Linked DNA regions of Arabidopsis thaliana. The protein of the gene in region 2 interacts with the protein of the main gene of each other region in a biochemical or structural test. Each region holds a gene or a part of one and is shown on either strand. Other genes may lie near its edges. The genes, in order: HD1, LUG and SEU.

Region 1 (3,754 bases), 2.2 Mb from region 2:
GTTTTTTTTTTTTTCCTATGTCCTTTAAAAATGTGTAGTTGTAGATGTAGTTCCCTGTTTTCATGCATTCTAATATTGATTGCAAGTTCAATGAATAGCGTTGTGTTGGCGGTATAGGGTGTCAAATTATGCTTGACGCTTATCAGTCATTACCAATGATGTATGTGACTGTCTATTGCAAATGTGGCCGACTTCATGAACAAATATGAACAATAGTATCATTGGTTACATACACCAGGCATAAAACTACATCATCCTCCAAAGGCACTGCTGATCTCAGGGACGTGGAGGTCTGTTCTGTAGAAGCTGGCGCTATATTGAATACAAAATGCGTGGAGTCAACATTAAAATAGTTTTTATGATTCACTCGGAGATCTTTACTTGATTTGGTCGGCTGTATTATATTCGTGAACTCGGAAGTCAAGGCCTGTCTTGATGGAAGAATGACTCCTTACTTTTAATATATATATAAATAATACACTGGATATGAATGCCATCTTTTGTTTGTTTACTTTTGGCGTCATGTGATTCTTGTATTGTTTACTATTGTTAAATGCAAGTATCAGGTAGTGCTTAAGATGGAAGCATGTGCATCTCGTATGTTGACCATAACCTCTCCAAGAGTTTTCTTGGAGTTGGGAGAATCGCTGACTTGATTAAAGAAAAACAACAAAAGAATATAATAAGAGATGGGAGGTGGGGTCGGCGCCGTCCCTACTCGATGATATTAGTCTATAAAAGAGAGGGAAGGAATGAGGTAAAGAAGCAGAAAGCTGGAGAAAGATGATTTCAATGTTGTTTCCGCGGTCGCCTTTGTGCACAGCAGCCATAGTATTCTACACATGTGTGTGCATTCCCTTGGGGAGGTTGAAGAAGAATGGTGGAGATGCGGATGCGCATGATGATGACGGTTACAACCTAGTGGGAGTGATGTTTGGGGACAAGGAAAAGGAGGAGGAAATTTGCTGCCCCATATGCCTGGTGGAGTTTGAGGCTGAGGATGCGGTGACCCATCTTCCCAGATGCGCTCATCTCTTCCATATCAATTGCATAGAACCTTGGCTTCTCCGTGGCCACCTCACTTGCCCTCTCTGCAGATCATTTGTATTGGCTCCAACTCCTCCTACACAAAATGTCAATAATGCACACTCCTCTTCCACCTTGTATCTCTCTATCTTCTTCTTTTTCTGTATCTTTCTCCATCTACTTGGATACTTGTAGCCTAGCTTCCTTGTTAACACACCCATTCTTTATTTAACATGTATTTTGTCTTAGTTTCCAAGCACATATTGTCTCCATCTCCTTTTCAATCAAGATTTTGTGGATTACTCAGTTTTATGATATACTGTACTAAACAGAGACAAAAGCAGCACGAGTTTAGTTTTACCAGCCTTGCCTAGTGCCTACTGCTGCTCTAGTGCTCTGTTTCCTAATTGATTTGTTACTCTGCGTAAGACCATTAAGTAAACGGGCTAAAGGCAACTTAATAGGCCTTATTTTTAAAACACATTAAAAGTGGGCCTCATTTTAAACCATAACAGATTAAAAGTGGGCCTTTCCATTATAAACTGAAAGTAGAAAAAGTTGGAAGAGAAGAGTAAGTAGGCTACAGTTTCAGTCAGAGGTGAAAGAAAATCTGAAAGCAAAGCAGAGAGCAGCTCCCTTCCCCTCGGCGAGGAGGAAGGAAGAAGAAAGCCAGAGAGAGAGAGAGAGATCATCGCAGCTTCTCCTCCGACCATTTGACTGCGACTGTGATTACAACACACCGTTGATCCTACGAAAAAGGTCAGTCAGACTCTCTTCCTTGTCTGCGTGATTCCATTTTCCGGCGTCTGTCTAGCCTCGCCGTCTTTTAATATCTTTCACTCGCCTTCCTGTCTCTTCTGCACACTAGATTTGATTTTTTCGTAACTTAAAAAAATGTTGTTGTTGTCATTCAAACGCGTCCATGGCTCAGCTACTCCGCGGCTAGGGTTTAGTTATCATTTTTTAATAATATAATTTTTATGGATCGGCGTGCGTGCAGAGGTAATGGATACTGGCGGCAATTCGCTGGCGTCCGGACCTGATGGTGTGAAGAGGAAAGTTTGTTATTTCTATGACCCTGAGGTCGGCAATTACTACTATGGCCAAGGTCATCCCATGAAGCCCCATCGCATCCGCATGACCCATGCCCTCCTCGCTCACTACGGTCTCCTTCAGCATATGCAGGTTCTCAAGCCCTTCCCTGCCCGCGACCGTGATCTCTGCCGCTTCCACGCCGACGACTATGTCTCTTTTCTCCGCAGCATTACCCCTGAAACCCAGCAAGATCAGATTCGCCAACTTAAGCGCTTCAATGTTGGTGAAGACTGTCCCGTCTTTGACGGCCTTTATTCCTTTTGCCAGACCTATGCTGGAGGATCTGTTGGTGGCTCTGTCAAGCTTAACCACGGCCTCTGCGATATTGCCATCAACTGGGCTGGTGGTCTCCATCACGCTAAGAAGTGCGAGGCCTCTGGCTTCTGTTACGTCAATGATATCGTCTTAGCTATCCTAGAGCTCCTTAAGCAGCATGAGGTTTGTCCACCTGCACCGTTTTGATATATGCTAGGGATGGTTATGTCGTTTCTGAATCTCTAACTCTTCCTCTCTCGTTTGCAGCGTGTTCTTTATGTCGATATTGATATCCACCACGGGGATGGAGTGGAGGAGGCATTTTATGCTACTGACAGGGTTATGACTGTCTCGTTTCATAAATTTGGTGATTACTTTCCCGGTACAGGTCACATTCAGGATATAGGTTATGGTAGCGGAAAGTACTATTCTCTCAATGTACCACTGGATGATGGAATCGATGATGAGAGCTATCATCTGTTATTCAAGCCCATCATGGGGAAAGTTATGGAAATTTTCCGACCAGGGGCTGTGGTATTGCAATGTGGTGCTGATTCATTGTCTGGTGATAGGTTGGGGTGCTTTAATCTTTCAATCAAAGGTCATGCTGAGTGCGTCAAATTTATGAGATCGTTCAATGTTCCCCTACTGCTCTTGGGTGGTGGTGGTTACACTATCCGCAATGTTGCCCGTTGCTGGTGCTACGAGGTACTTTCTTCTGTTCATTTTATGCTGCTCTAGCTTTGCATTGAAATTTCCTTGGTCTCTGTACCAAGGTTAGCCCTCTGTGACGCCTCTCTTTCTTTGAATTTATTACAACAAACTGTTTATATGACAGACTGGAGTTGCACTTGGAGTTGAAGTTGAAGACAAGATGCCGGAGCATGAATATTATGAATACTTTGGTCCAGACTATACACTTCACGTTGCTCCAAGTAACATGGAAAATAAGAATTCTCGTCAGATGCTTGAAGAGATTCGCAATGACCTTCTCCACAATCTCTCTAAGCTTCAGCATGCTCCAAGTGTACCATTTCAGGAAAGACCACCTGATACAGAGACTCCCGAGGTATGCCACTTGAGCAAATCATTTGAAGTGTGTTGGCTCCTTTATTTCTGTTGCCCATTCTTTCTTGCATTTCCTCATGGGTTTTGGTGAGCTTATCTAAGTGTAACTGCAGTTACAATAAGAATTTTCTAATTTAAACAGCTGGGCTGGTAAATAATGTTCGTCCAGTTAGATATGTATAAGTATTCCTTGATTGATGACTCTGGTTGTTACCAATCTTAGTTTTGTAAAATATGCCTTCTATGTAAATTATAGGTTGATGAAGACCAAGAAGATGGGGATAAAAGATGGGATCCGGATTCAGACATG
Region 2 (3,754 bases):
TCTCTAAAACAATTAGGTCTGCCAAAAAAAAAAAAAAAAAAAAAAAAAAAACAATTAGGTCTGCCATTTTGATAATCCTCTAAATAAATGTGGGCTCAATTCCTACCAAAACATGAAATAATTATGGGCTTAATTGTCCGTATGGCCCAGTTACCTTATAACTTCCCCCCCCCCTCCCCATGGCCCAGTTACCTTTCTTATTCAGCTATTTCAGAGTCTTTTTTAAAAAAAATAAAAATAAATTAATTTGAGTCTTTGCGCTGACTTTTGCTTCCTCGTGATTTTTTTTTTTTTTTTTTCCTCATGATTCTTTCTCTTGCGCAAATTCTTCCTCCATTGTTACAGGATCAAATTTGGATGACAATTTTAAAATCGTTGCACATAAACGTCTCATTTCCATTTATGTTTACCATTTTTCTTTTTTTTTAAATCAACAGATAAGAATTGTAGTATGGGTACTGGTAGTGGTGTGAGGTCTACGCATATACTTGAATTGTCTCAAGTCTCAACAATAAAGAGCTCTGGAACCGACATTTTGGTAATGTCAGCAACATTACATCCAATCATATTGTTATATTCATATAAATAGTATTCTCAGCAACACCTATGAAATGTACAACTACAAACTGATTCAAGAATACTCAATAATATAACGACTGTATTCAATATTCCAAATATAATTCAGCTTGTATATTAACATTTTAATAAAAAAAAATTGGACGCCACTACAAAAATAATAATCATCTTTATCACTACAATTTGTTAGAGACTTTCTTGCGTATCAAATTAGATATACGAAAATTTTCAAGGCAAACATGTAAGGTAGGGTAATCACAAATTATTTTCCTACACAATGAATCTAGTGAATATATATTATAAAGATGAGGGTTTTGTTACATGCTCAAAGATCTTGGCGACCGCAAATTGAGAATTTCTTGTTCCAGGTCTGGCAGCTTTCTGTGTGTTTGTAGCCTAGTAGGGGTCAGCTCTTAGAATCGTAGTTGTGATGAAAACAGAATTGTCGTAGTTGTCATGAAAACAGAATTGACTAATTAAAAACTCTTGATAGTTTCAAATTCTTTTAGAACCAACCTCCAAAAATCATGCCGTTCGTTGATTCATTTCGTTACCGAATTTGATTTTATGCAAGGCCTTGGTCTTATGGACCTGAGATTTAATGTTGGGCCTCACATCAAACGACTTTTCAAGATGGATTAGTAAAAACAGAAGCACATATTTTTTGCTTTAAGAACTTAAATTACTCTGTTTTTGTATGGATCTTTAGAAAACCTCAATTGTTTTCCAAAAGTAGCCTAAAAAGACTTTAAGCTCACGAACTTAAGTCACATGGATTTTTGTAAATAATTAAACGATTTAATAAAACTAATGAAATGATAGGAAAATGACCGATATACACAATTGATTTAAACAATTGAATTCGAGTAGTTATGATTTTGATAAAATGAAAAAGGACTGTTTGTTCCCTCTATGATCCTAAAAATGTCATAAAAATGAAAAAGGAAATATGAATTTGATAAGATTTACAGCGAACAAGACAAATTGGAAAAAAAGGAAAGAATGAATATACAGATACGTTAAAATGAAAAAGATATTTACGTCAATCTATTGATTATTAAAAGGTTAATTTTGTCATTAAAAGCAAAAGTGCTTTGCCAAAGGCGTGCTACGTCACGTAAATTATACAACACTATGAGGGCTTTTTGGTAATTTTACAGGAATAAAGCTAACCTCATAATATATCTTCTGCAATTCCGTCCACCCAAAACAACTGACATGGAAACTACTTTTTAAGTTTGATACAATAAAATAAATATACTTATCCGGTCAACATTTTTATTCTGATGAAGTAAAAATATTACTAAAATAACGAAAAACACGTTTTCTCCAAATGAAAAAAACGAAATTTACACTGAAATGTTTTTTTTTGTAAAAAAAAGATGTACTTATTCTTTTAGTACATTAATAAATTAGAATAAAAATTTTAATTGATTAAATCGCTAGTTGCTATTAATCAGAAGAGCTGAGCTACTTCTAATGCTTTTTTACAGAGAGATGCTTTCTTCTTCTTTCTCTCGAACTTTCTCTCTCTAAATATTTTGTTTCGTTTTCTCTCTCTCTCTCTATTTACTTTCGTTCTCTCTATTTTTTTTGTTTGGTTTAGCTTATTTGTGAAGTGTTAAATCTTCTTCAGTTTCTGGGGAAATTAGGTGGGGAGGTGAAAAAGGGGGAAATATAATTGAAATTGGGTTCTCTCTGCTGTGCAATAATAATTTCTGAGAGGATTGTGAAGAAGCGCTTTTATGTAAGAAGATATCTCATTATTAGTTATTTACATGAGAATCTGACATTCTTAACAACTGTCTGTGGGGTTAGTTTTGTCCAAAGAACTATACAGAGATGTCTCAGACCAACTGGGAAGCTGATAAAATGTGAGTTCTTCTTTTTTATGGGTTTTGATTCTTGTAATTGTTCTCCTTCCTACTAAAGGTGTTAACTTTTTTGTTGGGTTTTAGATTCTGAGTGTTTTTAAGTGATTTCTAGGGTTCGGATTTTATAAACGCATTGTTTTTCTCGTTCCCCGGCTACAGTTTGATTTTAGGGTTTGTGTTCAGAGTTAAGTTTCAATATTTTGTTGCTTCTACTTGATCTGGATTCTGCTGATTTTGTGGGTTTGCTTATTACTAACTTATCGCATTTTTTATATTTAGTTTTCTCCTTTATTGGCATTCTTGCTTTGTTTTGCCGTTAGAGGGGGGTTGTGTTACTTTGCGGGTTTCTCTAGTTTCTATTCTCAGAAAGCATTTCTTTGCTAGATTTCTGTGGTTGGGGGGAACTTTTTAGTTAGGTAAATTTTGCATGTTTTGGCCAAAGTTTAGTTCTTTGTGTTGTCAGTCACTGTCAAGGAGCTTGTAATTATTTTTTTGGATATTTGGTTTATCGCATTCTGGTTGACTCTTGTGGCATCATGTTTCTTTTGTTACTGTCCCAATTTCACTCTTCCTTTTTGTATGCAAGTATGTGACTTTAAGCTCCTTCAAGAAAGTTTCCTGATTTTGGTGTTTTTGCTCATAACTGGATGGTTTGTTTATGGGACATTGTTAAGTAGGAAGTTAAGCCCCTGTTTGGCGAGTGCCCTTTGTTGGGGTTTTAAAGACAAATTTTTGAATGTAACAGGTTGGATGTCTATATCCATGATTATCTGGTTAAAAGAGATTTGAAAGCTACAGCTCAGGCTTTCCAAGCTGAAGGAAAAGTGTCATCGGATCCAGTTGGTAAGAAATCACAATCTTCTTAAGCTTTTTGGCTACTATTCTTTATAAAGATTATTTGTTCTGCAGTTGCTCTGTTTCCTAATGAACTTCATTTTCTTATTGCATTGTTTTGTAGCTATTGACGCACCTGGTGGATTTCTGTTTGAGTGGTGGTCTGTCTTCTGGGATATATTTATTGCTAGGACCAATGAGAAGCATTCCGAGGTTGCTGCATCTTACATAGAGGTAGGTCTCTTTTCTTTTTTACCCTGACCACTAGGGATACTAGTGATTATATAACTGCGGAAAGCTGCGATAGTCTCTTTAGTTAGTGATATGGAGTTAGTTAGCACCTTCATTGTGTACAGTTGAATGGTGTTCTCTTTTCCTTTCTGTTTTAAGAGAAGAATTTGGAGTTGAATATGTAAAATCAGAAATGTTTTGTCCAATTAGTATGTTATGGATGATTGACTAAGCTGGAG
Region 3 (3,754 bases), on a different chromosome or scaffold from region 2:
TGACATCCAAATTTGATAGATATTGAGAAGATATAGAAAAAGCCAATAAAATATTGATAGTGGCTAAAATATTTGATCATTTTCATATAATGATATTTGCATTGTTTAGCTTTAAACTTATACGTGGATAAGGTAATCTAAAGTGTGAGAAATAATAATTTGCTGATAAATATTTTGTAGAGATAATTTGAGTATAGTGTTTGATAGACCAGTTTAAGTCTACAATCTTCTTTCTGTAAATGAGTTGGAAACATATCAAAAAGACGAGTCAGATATACTCAACCATGTTTTAAGGTAGTAAAAATAAATAGATCAAAATATTCAACCATGTTTCCAATGGCAGGAGAAGTTCTTGCAATACCAATATCTTTGGCTATATATGAGTCTGTTTTTTTAACCATTAGTGATTGTAATTTAAATCAATATAAAAGCTATTTGGTTTGTGGTGTTGTTAAACCGGGTGAAGCACTCTCTCAACTCTTTATACATATTTTTTCTTTTTGTTGACTAATAAATTTAACATTTTAACACACAAAAAAATGCTTTTGACTTAAAATTGGTTACATGCATTATTAGGTTCAGAAAAAATGAGGTATTTAAGATTTATATTCAGCAATGGTTCATATATATGCTCTCATGTCTGATTTTTTCTTTTAAATATATTTATGTTAGAAAATGATCTGCAACACATCAGACTAAAAAACTGAATTATTTTTTTTATATATTTTCTAATATTAATAGAAAACGGTTTATTAAACAAATGAATATGCAAATACTCTAAACCGTGAGAATTCCTTGTGGAGTTTCATTTGTATATAATATTTATTTTCTTTGCTTTATAACTTTAAAATACCATCATGATTATTATAGTTCAGCTTCTATGTAATGAAACCATGTAGACAATAAAATAAAGAAAATAAGAAGCAGTTTTTATTATCTAAAAAGCGTAGACAAAAATAATTAAGAAAACTTGAACAAAAGAAAAAAGATAGAAAGTTGAGACGAAAAAGAATATATAAGGGGAATGGGAAAAAAAAATCATCTAAGCAAGGGATGAAGATCAAACTCGAGTTGTTTAATCTCATACATAAATCCGCTTTCAAATTAATTTTATGTTGTCGTTCCATAATTATATTTTTTCTTAAAAATAGTCTTGTTTTCCATTCTCTCTCTCAAACCAAATTTACACATTTAAATAAACTTTAAACAGAAAAACCACTATTAATGTAGTAATATATTAAATATTGATATATTTCTATATCAAATTTAAAACTAAAACCAAAAAAAGAAAGAAAAATTTCTATATCAAATTTAGAACTAAAAACAAATAAAAATAGTGTCATTTCCATTATGTTCTTTTAAACCAAACTTTACATTCTAAGAAAAAACACTATTGATGTGTATATTAAACTTTTGATATCTTTCTAAATCAAACTTTTCTTAAGGTATTTAAAAGTGATAGTATTCTGAATGGAAAAATAACAATTTAACACTAAAACCAATAAAATAAAGAGAAAAATGTTTGTGGCTAACAAAAAAAAAAAATCCAGATTGTGATTACAAAAAAAAAACATTTCTAGGGCATGTCATTGACTTCCTTTGAAGAAGAAGAAGAAGAGAGAGAGAGACTGAAAAAGAAAAAGTAAGAAAGGGAATGAAATAAATCCGATCGAATACAATTTTGACGTCCGCAAGGACACTATTCTCTCTCTTCTCATCTTCTTCTTTCTCTCTTCTCTCTCTCTCTCTACAGCGAAGAACAGGACACAAATTACTCTGTGAAGCTTAAAAAGGTATAATTTTTAATAAAACCCAGAAACTACAATTTCTAGGCGGCAGAGAAAATTTGTTTCTACTTCTTTTTGTTTCTCTTTGTCTTCTCGTCTCTTTATCCCCAAACCCATCAATAAAAAACCCTAAAAGACTTCAAATTTCTTCAAGATTTTGTTCATCGGAAGTTTTCAGATTTTTAGTTGTGTAAAGTCTCTTCCTTTTTGTTCGATTCTCTTTGTTTTGAGTCTTATCAGAGACTTATTCTTCAATTCCACCTCTGGGTAAGTTTCTATAGATTCTCACTAGTAATCTCTGTTTTTTTTCTCAATTAGGGTTTGATCAAAGTTTCGTTTTTTTCTTTCTGGGTTTGTTCTTAACATTATGCTTTTGTTTTGTTAAGGTGGTGAGAGTTGGAAATGGAGTAGATTTGCTTAATTTAGATCTGTAAGTAATCAACAGACAGTGTTGTTTGGTTCTAGAATGTTCGATACGGAATCTCATCACTCAGATTCATCTCTTTCCGTGGTGTTTACGACTCTGAAGCTTATCATTGCTCAGAAAGAATACGTCTTTGCTCCTACACAGAGCTGAGTTTTATAAAGTCGTCAGTTTTGTTTCTTGCTTTCTTTGTTGATTGTGGAGTTGTGAATTAGTAAGAGTATGGTACCATCAGAGCCGCCTAATCCTGTTGGGGGTGGTGAAAATGTTCCGCCTTCGATATTAGGAGGACAAGGAGGAGCTCCTCTTCCTTCTCAACCAGCATTTCCTTCACTTGTCTCTCCGCGTACTCAGTTTGGTAACAATATGAGTATGAGTATGCTTGGGAATGCTCCAAATATATCTTCTCTTCTCAATAATCAGTCTTTTGTAAATGGTATCCCTGGTTCTATGATTTCTATGGATACAAGTGGTGCTGAGTCTGACCCGATGTCTAACGTCGGGTTTAGTGGTTTGTCGTCTTTTAATGCGTCGAGTATGGTGTCTCCGCGCTCATCAGGTCAAGTTCAGGGTCAGCAGTTTTCGAATGTTTCGGCTAACCAGTTGTTGGCTGAGCAACAACGGAATAAGAAAATGGAGACGCAGAGTTTTCAACATGGTCAGCAGCAGTCAATGCAGCAGCAGTTTTCGACAGTGCGTGGTGGTGGATTAGCAGGTGTGGGACCTGTTAAGATGGAGCCTGGTCAGGTTTCGAATGATCAGCAGCATGGTCAAGTACAACAGCAGCAACAGAAAATGTTGAGAAACCTAGGGTCAGTTAAGTTGGAACCGCAGCAAATTCAGGCCATGAGAAATTTGGCCCAAGTGAAAATGGAACCTCAACATTCTGAGCAGTCATTGTTTCTCCAACAACAGCAGAGGCAACAACAGCAACAACAACAACAACAATTTCTTCAAATGCCGGGGCAATCTCCGCAGGCTCAAATGAACATATTTCAGCAGCAGAGACTTATGCAACTTCAACAACAGCAACTCTTGAAATCTATGCCTCAACAGCGTCCTCAATTACCACAGCAGTTCCAACAGCAGAATTTACCTCTAAGGCCACCTCTGAAACCAGTGTATGAACCTGGCATGGGTGCTCAGCGTCTTACACAGTATATGTACAGACAACAACATAGGCCTGAAGTAAAGCTTCTTACCATAAATTTAACTTCTTTCAGCCTATGGCTTTTCTTCATAATTGACATTTGTGCTTGCTATTAAATGCAGGACAATAATATCGAGTTCTGGAGAAAATTTGTAGCTGAGTACTTTGCTCCTAATGCCAAAAAGAGATGGTGCGTCTCTATGTATGGCAGTGGCAGGCAAACAACAGGCGTTTTCCCTCAGGTTGGTTTACTGCTCAATGAACTTATCTTGTTTGTAATACAATTGTAAAGGAGCTTGTCTTTTGCACCTGAGCCAGTTATTCTGGATAAATTACGTACTTGTTTCATGTTATACCTCTTTACATGAGTATTTTTATTCCACAAACATTGCA

What was found.
Region 1: the proteins of LUG (region 2) and HD1 form a complex in vitro, tested with the Arabidopsis thaliana proteins (one study listed by BioGRID).
Region 3: the proteins of LUG (region 2) and SEU form a complex in vitro, tested with the Arabidopsis thaliana proteins (one study listed by BioGRID).

Annotation. Positions count from the first base shown.
Region 1 is NC_003075.7:17,897,335-17,901,088, reverse strand, and holds the start of HD1 (histone deacetylase 1), read left to right. Parts: upstream 1-1,579; 5' UTR 1,580-1,785; intron 1,786-2,026; 5' UTR 2,027-2,031; coding exon 2,032-2,559; intron 2,560-2,643; coding exon 2,644-3,084; intron 3,085-3,214; coding exon 3,215-3,445; intron 3,446-3,700; coding exon 3,701-3,754. Other genes in the region: AT4G38140 (RING/U-box superfamily protein), read left to right, coding at 784-1,221. UniProt on the Arabidopsis thaliana protein: Responsible for the deacetylation of lysine residues on the N-terminal part of the core histones (H2A, H2B, H3 and H4).
Region 2 is NC_003075.7:15,705,445-15,709,198, forward strand, and holds the start of LUG (transcriptional corepressor LEUNIG), read left to right. Parts: upstream 1-2,036; 5' UTR 2,037-2,418; coding exon 2,419-2,450; intron 2,451-3,195; coding exon 3,196-3,293; intron 3,294-3,408; coding exon 3,409-3,518; intron 3,519-3,754.
Region 3 is NC_003070.9:16,615,439-16,619,192, forward strand, and holds the start of SEU (SEUSS transcriptional co-regulator), read left to right. Parts: upstream 1-1,549; 5' UTR 1,550-2,054; intron 2,055-2,173; 5' UTR 2,174-2,433; coding exon 2,434-3,399; intron 3,400-3,483; coding exon 3,484-3,603; intron 3,604-3,754. UniProt on the Arabidopsis thaliana protein: DNA-binding adapter subunit of the SEU-LUG transcriptional corepressor of the C class floral homeotic gene AGAMOUS during the early stages of floral meristem development.